2 linked regions of the Stegostoma tigrinum genome follow. The protein of the gene in region 1 purifies or fractionates together with the protein of each later gene. This does not show direct contact. Links are inferred from orthologs where the notes say so. Each region holds a gene or a part of one and is shown on either strand. Other genes may lie near its edges.

Evidence for each region.
Region 2: the proteins of sigmar1 (region 1) and E3 ubiquitin-protein ligase RNF185 purify together in Homo sapiens (affinity purification with mass spectrometry; 3 studies listed by BioGRID and IntAct, with this or other methods). This does not show direct contact. The link is inferred for Stegostoma tigrinum from reciprocal best matches to the Homo sapiens genes SIGMAR1 and RNF185.

Annotation. Positions count from the first base shown.
Region 1 is NC_081354.1:147,742,256-147,750,077, reverse strand, and holds the start of sigmar1 (sigma non-opioid intracellular receptor 1), read left to right. Parts: upstream 1-4,791; 5' UTR 4,792-4,971; coding exon 4,972-5,110; intron 5,111-5,562; exon of another isoform or gene 5,563-5,676; intron 5,677-7,822. UniProt on the Homo sapiens protein: Functions in lipid transport from the endoplasmic reticulum and is involved in a wide array of cellular functions probably through regulation of the biogenesis of lipid microdomains at the plasma membrane.
Region 2 is NC_081379.1:51,227,288-51,234,750, reverse strand, and holds the start of E3 ubiquitin-protein ligase RNF185, read left to right. Parts: upstream 1-4,392; 5' UTR 4,393-7,463. Other genes in the region: c-Myc-binding protein, read left to right, coding at 2,138-2,182. UniProt on the Homo sapiens protein: E3 ubiquitin-protein ligase that regulates selective mitochondrial autophagy by mediating 'Lys-63'-linked polyubiquitination of BNIP1.

The sequences.
Region 1 (7,822 bases):
CAAACCATTTAAAGTCCCCCTCCCATTCCTCAGACGACATGTCCATCATGGGCCTCCTGCAGTGCCACAATGATGCCACCCGAAGGTTGCAGGAACAGCAACTCATATTCTGCTTGGGAACCCTGCAGCCCAATGGTATCAATGTGGACTTCACCAGCTTCAAAATCTCCCCTTCCCCCAACACATCCAAAAACCAGCCCAGTTCGTCCCCTCCCCCCACTGCACCACACAACCAGCCCAGCTCTTCCCCTCCCCCAACTGCATCCCAAAACCAGTCCAGCCTGTCTCTGCCTCCCTAACCCATCCACTCCACTCACCCATCACTTCCTCCCACCCCAAGCCACACCTCCATTTCCTATCTACTAACCTCATCCTACCCCCTTGACCTGTCCGTCCTCCTCAGACTGGACTGTCCCCTCCCTACCTCCCCAACCACACTCCCCTCTCCACCTATCTTCTCCTCTATCCATCTTCAGTCCGCCTCCCCCTCTCTCCATATTTATTTCAGAATCGTCTCCCTATCCCCCTTTTCTGATGAAGGGTCGAGGCTCGAAACGTCAGCTTTTGTGCTCCTAAGATGCTGCTTGGCCTGCTGTGTTCATCCAGCTTCACACTTTGTTATCTCGGATCCTCCAGCATCTGCAGTTCCCGTTATCTCCTATGAAATACAGAGATAGTCTGAACTGCCGATACCAGAGAATCTGAGATAACAAAGTGTAGAGCTGGATGAACACAGCAGGCCAGGCAGCACTAGAGGAGCAGGAAGGCTGACGTTTCGGGTCTGGACCCTTCTTCAGAAGTTTCTATACATGTCCTTCAACACAACACTCAAATGCCCATTAGAGTCATAGTCACAGAGCTTGAATGCCTATTATTCACATGTAAATCCTGTTGCTTAGTACTGGTAGATTATTCTACATGAAAACTTCACTTCTAAACCTGAGCTTAACGGTGACACAGGGTTTGCACTGGCCAGGTGGGCAAAAGCACAAAATGGCTGCAATGAAGTTGATATTGTTTGCCTCCCTATAGTAGGAGGAAACAAATTGTAGCACTTTCACATGCTGAAAGAAGTTATAAAGAAAAAATGCATTTCATTTATTCTCTGAAGCCACGAGGTCCCCCAAAGTATTTTAGTCAATTAAACGTTTTTTAAATGTTGTTACTGTTGCAATGTGAGGAACGTTGTAATATGTAGCCAAACATGCCTTTGAGTGGCCTTGATCTGTGATTAATAAATGTTACAGAATCAGGGACATTATTAGGAACATTGAGTTTACTTTATCCTCTCGAAGTTTTATATATATCTAGCAGAATATGTATATGGAGAAATTAATTGTTAAAATAGTTTGCATATTAATTGGTTATATCCAGTCGTGTATGGCAGTGGACAATTAAACAACACAGGAGGAGGGCAGCACAGTAGCCGAGTGGTTAGCGCTGATACCTCACAGCGCCAGGAATCCATGTTTGATTCTACTCTTGGGCAACTGTCTTCTTGGAATTTTCACATTCTCCCCTTGTCTGAGTGGACTTCCTCAAGGTACTCTGGTTTCCCCACACAGTCCAATGACACACAGGTTGGGTGGTTTAACTGTGCCAAATTGCCAATAACATCCAGGGATGTATCGGATAGATGGCTATGCAGGGTTACATGGATAGGGTAGGAGACTGGGGCTGGGTAGGTCTTTGGAGAGTTAGTGTAGACTCGAAGGGATTCTGTGCTTCTCCACAAGTATCTCCATCCTCAATGATGGAAGAGCCCAGCACGTCAGTACAATAGGTAAGGCTGAAGCATTCATAACAATCTTCAGTCAGAAGTCCTAAGTGGATATTAATCTCAGCCTCCTCAGTCGTCCCCAGCGTTACAGATACCAGACTTGAACCAATTTTATTCACTCTATGTCATCTCAAGAAATGATTCGAGACACTGGATACTGCAAAGGCTATGGGCCTTGACAACATTCAGCCAATAGGACTGAAGACTTGTGCTCCAGAACTTGCCGCTCCCTCAGCCAAGCTGTTCCAGTACAGCTACAACACAACAAAAATGTGGAAAATTGCCCAGGAATGTCAGAGACAAAACAAGCAGGGCAAATTCAACCCTGCCAATTGCCATCCCACCATCTACTCTCCATCAACAGTGCTATTAAGCAGTATCTGCTCAGTGATGCTCAGTTTGCGTTCTGCCAGGGCCACTCAGCTCCTGATCTCATTATAACCTTGGTTCAAACATGGACAAAAGAACTTAATTCCAAAGGTGAGGTGAGAGTAACAGCCCTTGACATCAAGACTGTACTTGACTAAGTGTGGCATCAAGGAGCCTGAGCAAAACTGGAATCAGTGGGTACCAGATGCAAACTTTCCAGTGGTTGGAGCCATGCCTGACACATAAGATGATGGTTGTGGTTGTTGGAGGTCAGTCATTTCAGCTCCAGGACATCTCTGCAGGAGTTCCTCAGGGTAGTGTCCGAGCCCCAACCATCTTCAGCTGCTTCATCAATGACCTTCCTTCCATCATAAGGTCAGAAGTGGGCATGTTCACTGATGATGGCACAATGTTCAGCACCATTCTCAGATACTGAAGCAGTCTGTGCTCAAATGCAACAAGATCTGGACAACATCTAGGCTTGGGCTGCCAAGTGGTAAGTGACATTAGTGCTACACAAATACAAGGCTGTGACCATCAGCAACAAGAGACAATCTAACCACTGTCCCCTAATACTCAATCACTACTGAATCCCCTGCTATCAACATCCTGAAGATTATGATTGACAAGAAACTCAATTGAATTCACCACGTAAACACAACAGCTACTGGAATGGGTCAGAGACTAGGAATGCTGTGTAACTCACCTCCTGACTCCTCAAACCCTGTCCATCATCTATAAAGCACAAGTCAGGAATTTGATGGAATACCCCCCAGCTGCCTGGATGGGTGCAGCTCCAAAATACTCGAGAAGCGTGACATTATTCTGGATAAAGCAGCCCGCTTGAATGGCACCACATCCACAAACATCCACTTCACCACTGACGCTCAGTAGCAGCGGTGTGTACTATCTACACTATTCTACACTGTAGAAGTTCACCAAAGATTCTCAGACAGCACCTTCCAAACCCACAACCGCTTCCATCTAGAAGGACGATGGCAGCAGAGACATGGGAACACCACCACCTTCAAATTCCTCTCCAAGCCACTCACCATTCTGACTTGGAAATGTATCGCCCTTCCTTCAGCGTCGCCGGGTCAAAATCCTGGAATTCCCTCCCTAATGGCGGACTGTAGCGGTTCAAGGAAGCAGCTCATCATCACTTTCTCAAGGGTAACTCGGAAATGGCAAGAAATGCTGGCCAGCCAGCGATGCCCAAATCCCACAAAACGAATTTAGGTTCAGTTCACTCCAATTTTTCTTTATAGCTCTACGTATTTTGCATTCTCTTGAACGCTAATAACGTAGTGTGGGTCCCAAACAAATTCTTACAGATTCTTGCACATCAGACCACATTGCTGAATTAATGTGGAATGTTGTGTGTTTGTATGTGTGTATGTGTTATTTCTTTTATAAATTTGTTGATAATTGTTAATTACAACTAGCCATAAATAAAAATCAAGATACTAGATATGATTAAGTTCTGACATTTACTCAACTTTTGATTTGATTTATCTCTGTCATGTGTACCCAGACACAGTGAAAAATGTTGTCTTATGTGCTTTACAGGCAGATTGTACTATATAAGTGCATCAGGATAACAGAACAGAGTGCAGGATACAATGTTACAGCTGCAAAGACGGTACGGAGAGGGATCAATATTATCATTAAACAAGACTTTCTCAAAGTTTGATAACGGGGGAAGAAGCTGTTCTTGAATCTGTTTGTGCAGATTCTATTCAAACCTTTATGACTTATGATGAATATTTGACCTCACAAACTTTACCTTCTGTGATCAATGATGTGGGGTGGAGGAAAACAAAGCTTTTAACAGGCTTTTGGAGAAAGTTGATGAATTTGCAACGATCATTCTAACACCATGGTTACTTACCAACAGACTATAATAAACAATATACAGTCAGCAGAAGTAGTGTATTCTTTAGGTATTTTACATTCACTTGAAAGGTTTTGGCCTTAGACGTTAGTAATCAACTTGTTTGTTTATACTATGATACACTTCCTGACAGGTGGGACCTAAACTTGGTCCTTCTGCCTCAGAAGACAGGATACGACCAGCACCACAACAGTCTTAATCAATAGTTTAATCAATAGAGTGTATGCTTGCAAAGGAATAAATGACTTTTAAACAAGGTTTGGATTTTGGAAGAAAGACAAAAGTGCAATACTCAGCAGCGTCTATGGAGAGAGAGGGGGAGAGAGAGGAGAGACAGAGAGATAACTCCTCGGGTCCGTGACCCTTCATCACAACCGTGTTAACTTCGTTTCTCTCTCCCACAGATACTGCCTTGCGTGTACCCAGTGTCTGTTGCCATTTCAGATTTTCAGCGTCTGCCGTTCCGGTTCAGTTTGGTGGGCTCGTGAGGCAGGATGCACACAGCCGAGCCGATAGATTAAAGTTTAGCAATTCACTTAGCAGTTGGTGCAAATCGATGCTCGCGATAAAGTGGATGAGCAACAGCCCGCCGAGAACCTCGGAGCACACTTCAGTCGGCCTTTCCACCCCGCCTCCTGTGACAATACACCACGCTCATTGTCAAGGGGACACGGGAACCGTGGGAACTCCCGGCCTCCGATAGGCAAGATCGCGCTGTCAGTCATGAAGTGGGGCGGGGCGGGGGTGAGTGACGGCGCCGTGGGAAAACCGGCGTTTCTGTTCGAGCCAGGAGGAGACGTGGTGGGTGCAGGAAGCTGGTGGTCAGCGGCGCAGAGTTTGGACGAATTGCTGTGTGTCCTCCTCCCCCCTTACCCCGGGACGGTTTGTCGCGCTCCTTTCCCCCACCCCGGGGCTCGAGCCGCTTAACATGAAGCTGACGCTGGGCCGTGCCGTTGTCCTGGTGACTGTGGCCGGGCTCAGCATCTGGATGTTCCGCGCGTGGCTAAGCAGCAAAGAGCACGTGTTCAACAAGGAAGACCTGAGCAGGCTGGCTCGGCAGTACTCGGGTATGTTCTCACAGAGCACTGCCTGTCTCTGTAGATGCAGATGCATGCGAGCAGATCCTTCTGTCTAACTCGTCCATACCGATCAAGTTCCCCAAGCTAAATTACTCCTATTTGGCCCACATTCCCCCAAAACCCTTCCTGTTCACGCCCCTCCCCGAATTTCTTTTGAATGTTGTCACTGGACCTGCATCTGCCATTTCCTCTGGCTCTTCATCCACGACTTGCCACTGCACCGAATCCCACTTCCCATAGTTTGCATTTACTCTTTAAGGCTATCCCCAAGGTCCGCCCCATCAGTCAGATTTTCCATGTTAACAAAGCAGGGGAAGAGGTATTGTTGACAGTGCTGCCATTAGAACATGAGAAGATACTGCAGCAGCAGGCCATGCAGCCGTCAAGCCTGCACACTCTTTTTGTAAGATCAGTGCTGATGTACCCCAGGCCTCACTCACCTTTCGTGCCAGGTTCAACTCTGATCGTTGAAGTCTACCTCCCTACTTTAAATAGTTGTGATCTAGCCTCCACAACTCCCTGGTGTAGTGAATTCCTGTCAGCCAGCAATAAACTGCTGAGTTTGCGTTCTACACAGAACCACTGGACTTTGGCCCTAGTTACCTTCATCTGCAATAAAAAAACACTCGTGTTATGCCATTATGTAACTCCAGACCTACAGCAAAATGGCTGACTCTTGACTGCCTTTGGACAGTTCAGAATAGACAATAATTGTGTGCCTAGCCAGCAATCCCCTCATTTCATGTACAAATAAAAGGCAAGTTTTGGTCAAAATGTGGACAGCAAAACTAAATTACAGAAGTAAGAGGAGCTGTCCTTGAGTATCTCTACTTCAGTTAGTGCACTGTTATCCCCTGAGGTGGTCTTTCTCCAGAGGGTTGAACACAAATCTGGGCTGATGCTGTATGGTGTTATATGGGAAATGCTGCTCCCTTGTCTTTGGGATAAGATGTTAATTGGAGACCCTGTCCATCCCTCAGTGACATTATTTAAAAACACATCAGGTTCCAGATGTACATTGACAATAATCTACCTCTCCATTACCAGTTTTAACTCTCATTTGTAACATTTCTTGTCAGAAATCAAGTCTTGGATGATCATTGTCTTTGGCCTCTACTACAAGCTCTGCTTTTGAGCACCAGAATCTCCCTGGTCTGTGTCTAAGGTCAAACTGGGCTATTTGACCTTGCGATGAGCTTCCAATACATACCTGTTCCATCACAAATACCCCATTCCCACTTTTTTTTTAAATCACTCTGCTGCGTTCCTGCTGCAGTGCATCTGCTCTTGGAACTTTGACGGATGCCTCTGGGGTTCAGCTTACACTCTAGAAACTCTTCCACTGTACTTTTGGCTGGCCTCACACCTGTCTGTCTATTGAGGTTATCCCTAAACTCAACTGCCTTGACCATGACACCCACCATATATCTTTTCAAACACCATCTATGTGCCCGCTATCCGATATTGTCTGCTGTCTTGATAGACTTCAACTTTAAGAGAAATCATTTTTGTTTTCAAATCCATCCATGATCTTCATCCCTTCCCTATCAGTACCATCAAAAAGAACTGTGACTTCCTCCAACCTTACAACCCTGAGGTTTTTACACACTTTCACCTCCTTCAATCGTACTTGATTTTAATTGTTCCACAGCTCATAATTGTGCCTTCAACTATCTGGGACCTAAGCTTTAGAGTTCCTTAGCCAATCTTGCTGGTCCTTTTTCCTTTTTAAGATACTCCTTCAAAACTGTTGACGGATATTTTGATCACTTGACTTGATGTTAAAAATTTGCTAATGCCCCTCTGAACTTCCTTCATGATTTAGCAAGTAAAGATGATTCATAAATGTAAGTTATTTTTGGTGTTAAATGTGTTTGGCTTGATGCTGGCTAATCTGCTTTAAAGTATTTGGCACTTGTCCTGTGTACCTAGCAAGGTCATTTTAAGAAGATTGATAATTCACTAAAACACCAGCATTCCAATATTCTTAAAACAGCACTTGATGCTGTGCTGTCATGTCTAACCTCTATTAACCTTGCAATTTTTATTTTTCTAATTTGTTTATATTCCATGCATTTTCCAAAAGTGCAAAGCAGACAGCAGTTCCAATTATGTTCTGGGATAGAGCCAGTATTACATCTATTTTATTTGTTGTGTCTTAGAGGTTTTATTTAGAGCTGGTGAAGTTTCTGTATTGGGAACAGTACCACGTTTTGAAAAACTGGAATCGTACTTGGAAATACAATAGACAATACTGCATTCAGCAAAGTACAAGTATTGTTGAAGATAGCATATTACTAAATATTTGAGCAGACTATCAAAACATACATTGATATCCAACTTTTTTCTACTTGCTGTTCATTCAGTCATCAGTGATTTGGAGATTTCATTGAGCTTGAAGTTTGAGTTTATACTGGAAATTTGATAGCAAAGAGAATGTAGTGTGCCTTTCGCTGTGTATCTCTGCAAGTCTTATTTTACTTGGTGCCATCTGGATTTGTAAAGGATCTGGGAGACCTGGGATTGCAGTAATAAACCAACTTATGCTGATTTAGCTGTGAACAAAGATATCCACATATAGATCCTTAGTAGTCCATGAATTCAATCTCTAAAGTGTGTAAAATTATTTTAAACCGTTAGTCTGCATTTAAATCGATTGACTAGTTCACATAGCTAGATGCTATGTTTAATGTTCTTTAA
Region 2 (7,463 bases), on another chromosome or scaffold:
CTACCTTTCACTCTATAACTTCCACCTGTACGTGACCTTCCAAAATGCATCACCTCACATATTTGTCTGGCTTAAACTCCATCTGCTATTTTTCTGCCCATGTCTCCAACTGATTTGTATCATGTTATATCCTCTGACAATCCTCCTCGCTATCTGCAACTCCCCCAGTCTTTGTAACGTCCACAGACTTACTAATTAGACCAGCTACTTTTCTCTCCAAATCACTTATGTAGATCACAAACAGGTGAGATCCAGCACTGATCCCTGCGGAACACCGCTCATGACATTCCTCCATTCCAAAAACTATCCTTCCACCTCTACCCTCTGTCTCCTATGCCTAAGCCAGCTCGCACCTGACACCACGTGACTTCACCTTTTGTACTAGTCTGTCATGAGGGACGTGGACAATGGTTTTACTGGAGTCCATGTAGACAACATCAACTGCTTTTCCTTCATCAATCATCTTCATCACCCCCTTGAAAAATTTGATCAAGTCAGTGAGGCATGACCACCACACACTTAAACCATGTGTTAATTGCTAATCAGTTAATTTACTTCTAAATGTTTATAGATCTTGTTCCTAAGAATCTTTTCCAGTAACTTTCCTACCACTGACAAGAGGCTCACAGACCTGGAATTGCCCGGATTATCCCTGCCACCCTTTTTAAACAATAGGACTATGTTAGCTATTCTCCAGCCCTCTGGGACCTCAGGCGTGACCAAAGAGGACATAAAGAATAGATTCCCTGCAGTGTTTAAACAGGCCCTTCGGCCCAACAAGTCCACACTGCCCCTTGAGGCATCCCACCCAGACCCATCCCCCTATAACCCACACACCCCTGAACACTACGGGCAATTTAGCATAGCTGATTCACCTAGCCTGCACATCTTTGGACTGTGGGAGGAAACCCACGCAGACAAGGGGAGAATGTGCAAACTCCACACAGACAGTCGCCCGAGGTTGGAATCAAACCCGTGTCCCTGGTGCTGTGAGGCTGCACTGTTAACCACTGAGCCACCATGCCGTCCTGATGTCTGTCAATGCTCCAGCAATTTGTTCTCTTGTTTCCCCTCAATATTCTAGGATAAATCCCATCAAGACCCAGGGATTTATCTACCCTTAAGACTTTCTAAGACACACAACTCCTCTTCCTTTTTAACGTCAATTTCTAAACCAAGTTGCTTCTAGCCTGTGTCTCCAACGCCTAACCGAACAACCATGCACAAACTCACCTCTTGGGTTGTGACTGAGTTTGGAACTGATAAAAAGGTTATAAGGATAAAATGGAATAGTGGTATTAGTTTAGGGCTATTCCAGTAAGGAACTGCTGTAGGCACAACAGCTGAACAACCTGCTTTCTATTGAAGTCTGTCCATCTAATGTTCTTGCTCTGTCATGGTAATCTTATTAGGTTTATCACAAAGCTTAGCACTGTTAAAACTCTAGAAGTTATTTTCAAGTAACAAAAAGTTGGTGTGATTCTGTTGCTGTAATGGCAAAGCAATGGGAAGGTGACACACCTGCGTCTAAAATGTATTACTGATTTTTGGGAAGCCTGATTACCTGCATTTCTTCAATTCAAATTCATTGTAAGTTTCAGGAGGAGTTTTAATTTTTTGCCTAGTCTGGTGACTTCAGTTCCCTGTTCCATTTATCCCATTAAAAGGTTTTTTTTATAAACCATTGCTCCACAATATGGCTAGCTCCAGTGTCAACTGATTCCAGTCTAATTTCCTCTGCCAACCAGGCAAGTCAACTCGACAGTGTGAATTAAATTTTAAAGGGATGTTATTTCAGGGATCAAATTCTTGCGGGTATTTTTGTTTGCTTTTTAGGGGCTGTTAGTGTGCTTGAAACCATTAAGACCCTGTGATCACGGCAGAATGTTTGAAAAAATTCTGTTCACATTCTATACTGCAGATTCTATGTTGAACTCTTTATTTTTAAAATCATGTTCTGGTTTGTGCATTTTGTAGAACAACTTTATATTCTAAGTTTTCTTGAACCGCAAAATGATAACTGTTTCAATCAGAGCAATGCAGAATTTTCAGATATAGTTAGTGACACGTTTTTGATGTGGAAATCTCTGAAATTCATTTTAATGAGAGCTAAAGTATTTCAATCTGTTGTTCACAGCTTGCACAGTTCGAGCCCCCAAAAGAGGAAGGGCAACCTGAATAATAATTCAAGACTTCCCACGTTATCAGAAGAATGCATGAAAGGGATCTGATAAAATCATCTGGCAAATAGTATTAATTTTGGAGAATTGGCACCTATTCTGGAAGAAATGCAGCCAGTCATTTTAGGTTACACATGCCAAAACAAAAGTTACTTTAAGCTAAAAAAAATTATGCCATTGTTGTATACCTGTCTGCAATGCAGCATTTGGAAGTGGATATTCAACAGAATTTTTACTCAATGCATCTAAATTCTACACAAACATTTGATTCAGATATAGCCCTACAAACCAATGCAAGTTGCACATGTTTCATTGGATCCTAAATTTTGTTAATATTGGCATGATGTTACCAGATTTCTGAAACAAATTTCAGTAACTTTGTTTCACCAAACATGTTTGTTAAAGTCATTTTGCACTTTGTGGGGAACAGTACTGAGCACTCTTGTCTGGCATATCCTGTTAGTTTGGGGGACATGGGGACGGATAAGCTAGGGGTTAATAGCTTTAAGTCACATTAGGCCAATAGAATCTGTATATCAGTTCACAAGCCAAACTGAACAAGTGGAACTTGGCAGCAGTCAAGTATGAATGTTGACCATGTTGGATGGTTTGCTGTCATTGGGCCAGTATTTTGGACAAAATCTGGCAACCAGGCCGTGATCCACTAACGTGACTAGGCACTGGCATTTTTGGAGCAGGAGGAACATCTTATCAGCAAACTACACTAATGCTGAAACCAGGCCCATTTGGCTCAATTAATGTCCAAGTTTTATTGTTTTTTTAGTTGTACAGAAGTTCAATTTTTCCCTTTTTTGTATTCACTGAATAAATTTTCTTTGCACATCATTGGTATGTTTCTTGATGATAAAACACTAGATTAACCAGTATTAAAAGATTTTTGTTCTAGAGGCAAGCCCAGGATTTGCATTTGTAATGGAATGACACTGTCCCGCCCCTCCTTGTGTACTTGTCTCAGTCCTTCAGATGGAGCCGTGTCTAACTCTGTCACTTTCCTCTTTTATTTCTTTGCAGAATGAACTTAAGTAACTGCTCTCTTCCCTGGCCAATCATCCATTTTCTCTCAGCTTCTTATTATCCACTCCCTCACATGCTCATGTCCTTCCCCTTTCCCCACCCACCTACTCACTCCCCTTTCAGGTTCATGTTCTGTTCTCCCTTATCTTCATTTCTTTCTCTTTTCTCGATCTGGCTTCTACTCTTTTCTCTTCTCCCATCAGTATTCCTTCCAAGATAAAACAAACAGTCACCAGGATAAGTATGGATTAATATGTGAATGCCAAGTCACATTTGATTCACCTGATGGAAAACGGACTTTTGAAAGATATTGATAAAATTTGTTGCCCATAGGACAAAAGGGCCCACAGCACCTTTGAGACAAAATTACCTGAGTGACAGCGAACTACATTTTCAAACTGGAGAAAGATGTGTTGTAGGGTTATTAGGAACCCTTTTTTTTTGATATATGCTGAGCTGAGCACACATAAATTTACAGATGACAAAATCTGGAAATATAGTAAAATCTGAAGAAGATACTGCAAGATTTTAATAGGACACAAGTTGATGGAGGGGTTATGAAGAGAAGCATGGATAATTCATGCTTGAGAAATGGAGAAATGCAATATGTATTTGTAGAATTCTAGAGAGGTACAGGAACATGGGGCAAATTAAAAGCAACAAGGCACGTTAAGAAAGTATTGTAAAAGCAATCAGGATCGTAGGCTTCACAAATAGAAGTATCACGTACAGAAGCAAAACAAATATGAACTTTTGTAAAGTACTTGTCCATCACAATTCAAATATCTTGTCAAACTGCACTTGGGGAAGGATGATTAAAAACTTTGAGAAGATACAGCAATGATTAACTAAATATTAACACGCTTTGAAAATTTTCATTTGCAAAATTATCCTGATGCAGGCAAGGGAAGTGTTTACCGTGCAGAAAGATATGGAATTGGAGTAAATAAATAGTGATATCTTGAAGCATCTCTTACAATGGAGACAGTAAGAACTGCCAGTGCCGGGGTCAGAGATAACACAGGGTGGAGCTGGAGGAACACAGCAGGCCAGTTTTGGGTCAGGATTCTGAACAAAGGTCCTGACCCGAAACGTCAGCTTTCCTGGTCCTCAGATGCTGCCTGGCCTGCTGTGTTCCTCCAGCTCCACCCTGTGTTATCCGTATATTACAATGGCGGTGGTGCTGAAGTCTTAAAACACAAAAAGGTGGATAAATCCCTGGGAGCAGATCAAGTGTACCCTAGAACTTTGTGAGAAGCTAAGGAAGTGATTTCTGGACCCCTTGCCAAATATTTTGGCATCATCAATAGCCATGGGTGAGGTGCTGGAAGACTAGAGGTTGGTCAACGTGATGCTGTTATTTAAGAAATGTAGAAAGGTAAAGCCAAAAAACTTAGACTGGTGGGCAAGTTGTTGGAGGAGGGTCTGAGGGACAGGATTTATGTTTATTTGGAAATGCAAGTGCTGATCTAGGAATAGTCAACATGTCTTTGTGTATGGGAAATCATGTCCCACTAACTTGATTAAGTTGTTTGAAGACGTGATGAAGAGGATTGAAGGCACAGCAGTCAACGTCTGCATGCTCAGTAAGGCATTCAACAAGGTTCTGCATGAAAGACTGCCTAACAGGGTTAGTTCATACGGAATACAGGGAGAACCAGCCATTTGGATACAAAATTGGCTAGAAGGTAGGAACTAGGATGTTGTGGAGGGTTGCTTTTTGGATTGGAGGCCTGTGACCAGCAGTTTCCTGCAGGGATTGGTGCTGGGTCTGATTTTTTTTTTTGTTTTGTTATTTGTAGAAGCTATTTGGATATGAATATAGGAGGTATGGTTAATAACTTTGTAGATCACACTAAAATTGTTGCCAAGGATAGCAAATAAGGTTACCTTGGAGTCCAACAGGACCTTGGTCAGATGGTCTGAGGAGTGACAGATGGAGTTTATTAGATAAATGTGAGATGCTATACTTTGGTAAGGAAATCAGGCAAGAATAATACACTTAAAAGTAAGGTGTAGGGGAGTGTTGTCAAACAGACACCTTGATATGCAGGTTTGTAGTTCCTTGAAAGTCACTGGTAGACAGGTCAGTGAAGAAGACCTTTCGTATGCCTGTCTTTATTGGTCAGTGCATTGAGCAAAAGAGTTGGGAGGTCATGTTGTGGTGGTACAGGACATTGGTTAGGCTACTGTTGGAATGCTGTGTTTGATCCTGGTCTCTCTGATAAAGGAAAGATGTTGTGAAACTTGGGTTCAGAAAACATTTTTAAGGATGTTGCCACAGTTGGTAGGTTTGAGCTGGAGGAAAAGGCTGAGAGGTGACCTTATAGAGGTTTATAAAGATCATGAGGGGCATGGATAGGGTGAATAGTCAAGGCCTTTTCCCCAGCATAGTGGAGTCAAAAACTAGAAGGTATAGGTTTACGGTGAGAGGGGAAAGATTTAAAGGGAACCTAAGAGGCAACTTTTTTGCGCAGTGCATGTATGGAATCAGCTGCCAGAGGAAGTGTAGGAGGTTGCTACTGTTACAAAAATTAAAAGACATCTGGATGGGAACATGACTAGGAGGGGTTTAGAGGGATATGGGCCAAATGCTGGCAAATGGGACTAGATTAATTCAGCATATCTCGGCAGCATAGATGAATTGGACTGAAGGGTCTATTTCTGTGTTGTACATCTTTGACTCTGTAACCAGGGGAACATGACATTTCTCCTGTAAGAAGCAGTGTGTTGACTGGTAGAGATGTTACTATGAACAATACATCAGTCCTTACGTTTGTTCTTTGCAAACAATGTGGGCATTGCTGTCTCGAGTGTCCCTGATTGTCCTGTAGAAGGTGATGGTGAGCTGCTTTCTTGAACCATTGCATTGTGTTGTAGATACACCCACAGTGCTGTAAGGAAGACAATTCCAGGATTTTGTCCCAATAACAGCAAAGGATGATGAGTAAGTTCCAACTAAGGATACTGTGTGATTTGCAGCAGCGGTACTGTGTAGCATCTACAAGATGCACCTAGACAACTCATCCAGGCTTTTTAAACCTTACAAACCGATGGCAGCGACCACCAAGGAGGACAAGGCAAGAAAAGATCCCCTCTGAGTGACTCACCATCCTGACTTGGATGGTGGATTGGAAAGAAATCCCTATCCCTACGCTATTGCTGGGTCAAAATCCTGTAACCCTCCTCTCAAACAGGTCGTGTGTGCCCTGACAACACACAAACTGGAGCAGTCCAAGAATGCTGCTCACTATCACCCTATTACAGGCAACTTGTTGGGAGTTTTTTTACAGACCCCCTAATAGTTGCAGAGAAGTGGAGGAGCAGATTGGGAGGCAGATACTGAAAAGGTGCAGAACTCACAGGGTTGTAGTCTGGGTGACTTCAACTTTCCAAATATTGATTGGAAACAATCTAGTTGTAGTAGTTTAGATTTTGTCCAGTGCATTCAGAAAGGATTACTGACACAGTATGTAATAGACCAACATGAGGAAAGGTGATTTTCGATTTGGTGCTTGGCAATGAACCAGGCCAACTGTTAGACCTGTTGGTCGAAGAGCATTTTGGCGTTAGCAATCATCACTGTTACTTTTACAATAGTCACGGAAAAGGATAGGTATGTACAGCAGAGTAAGGTTTATAATTGGGGGAAGGGTAATTACAATTCTGTTAGGCGAGAACTGGGTAAAAAAAATGGGAACAGATGATGTCAGGGAAGAGCTCTCTGAAATGCGGAGATTGTTTAAGGAATGCATACTGCGTGTGCTCAATATGTTTGTCCCGAGCAGGCAAGGAAGATGCGGTTGAGTGAGGCAGCCTTGGTTCTTAAGAGAGGTTGAATGACTAGGATGCTTATATAAGGTTTAGGAAACAAGGCTTGGAAAAGACTCCAGAGGGATACAAGTTAGCCAGAAAGGATCTGAAGAAAGGGTGTAGGAGAGCAATAAGGGGGCATGAGAAAACCTTAACAGATAGGATCAAGGAAAACTCCAAGGCTTTTTACACATTAGTGAGGAATAAGAGAATGATCAGAGAAAGGGCAGGGCCAATCAAGGATTGTAAAGGGAATTTGTGCACGGAGCCTAAAGCGATACGAGAGGTCCTTAATTAATACTTTTCTTCAGGATTCATAACTGAGAGGGACCTAGTTGTAGAGGAGGCCAACGTGAAACAGGCTGGTAGGCTAGAGGAGATCAATGTTAGTTAGGAAGATGTGCTAGGAATTTTGAGGAACTTGAGGATATATCA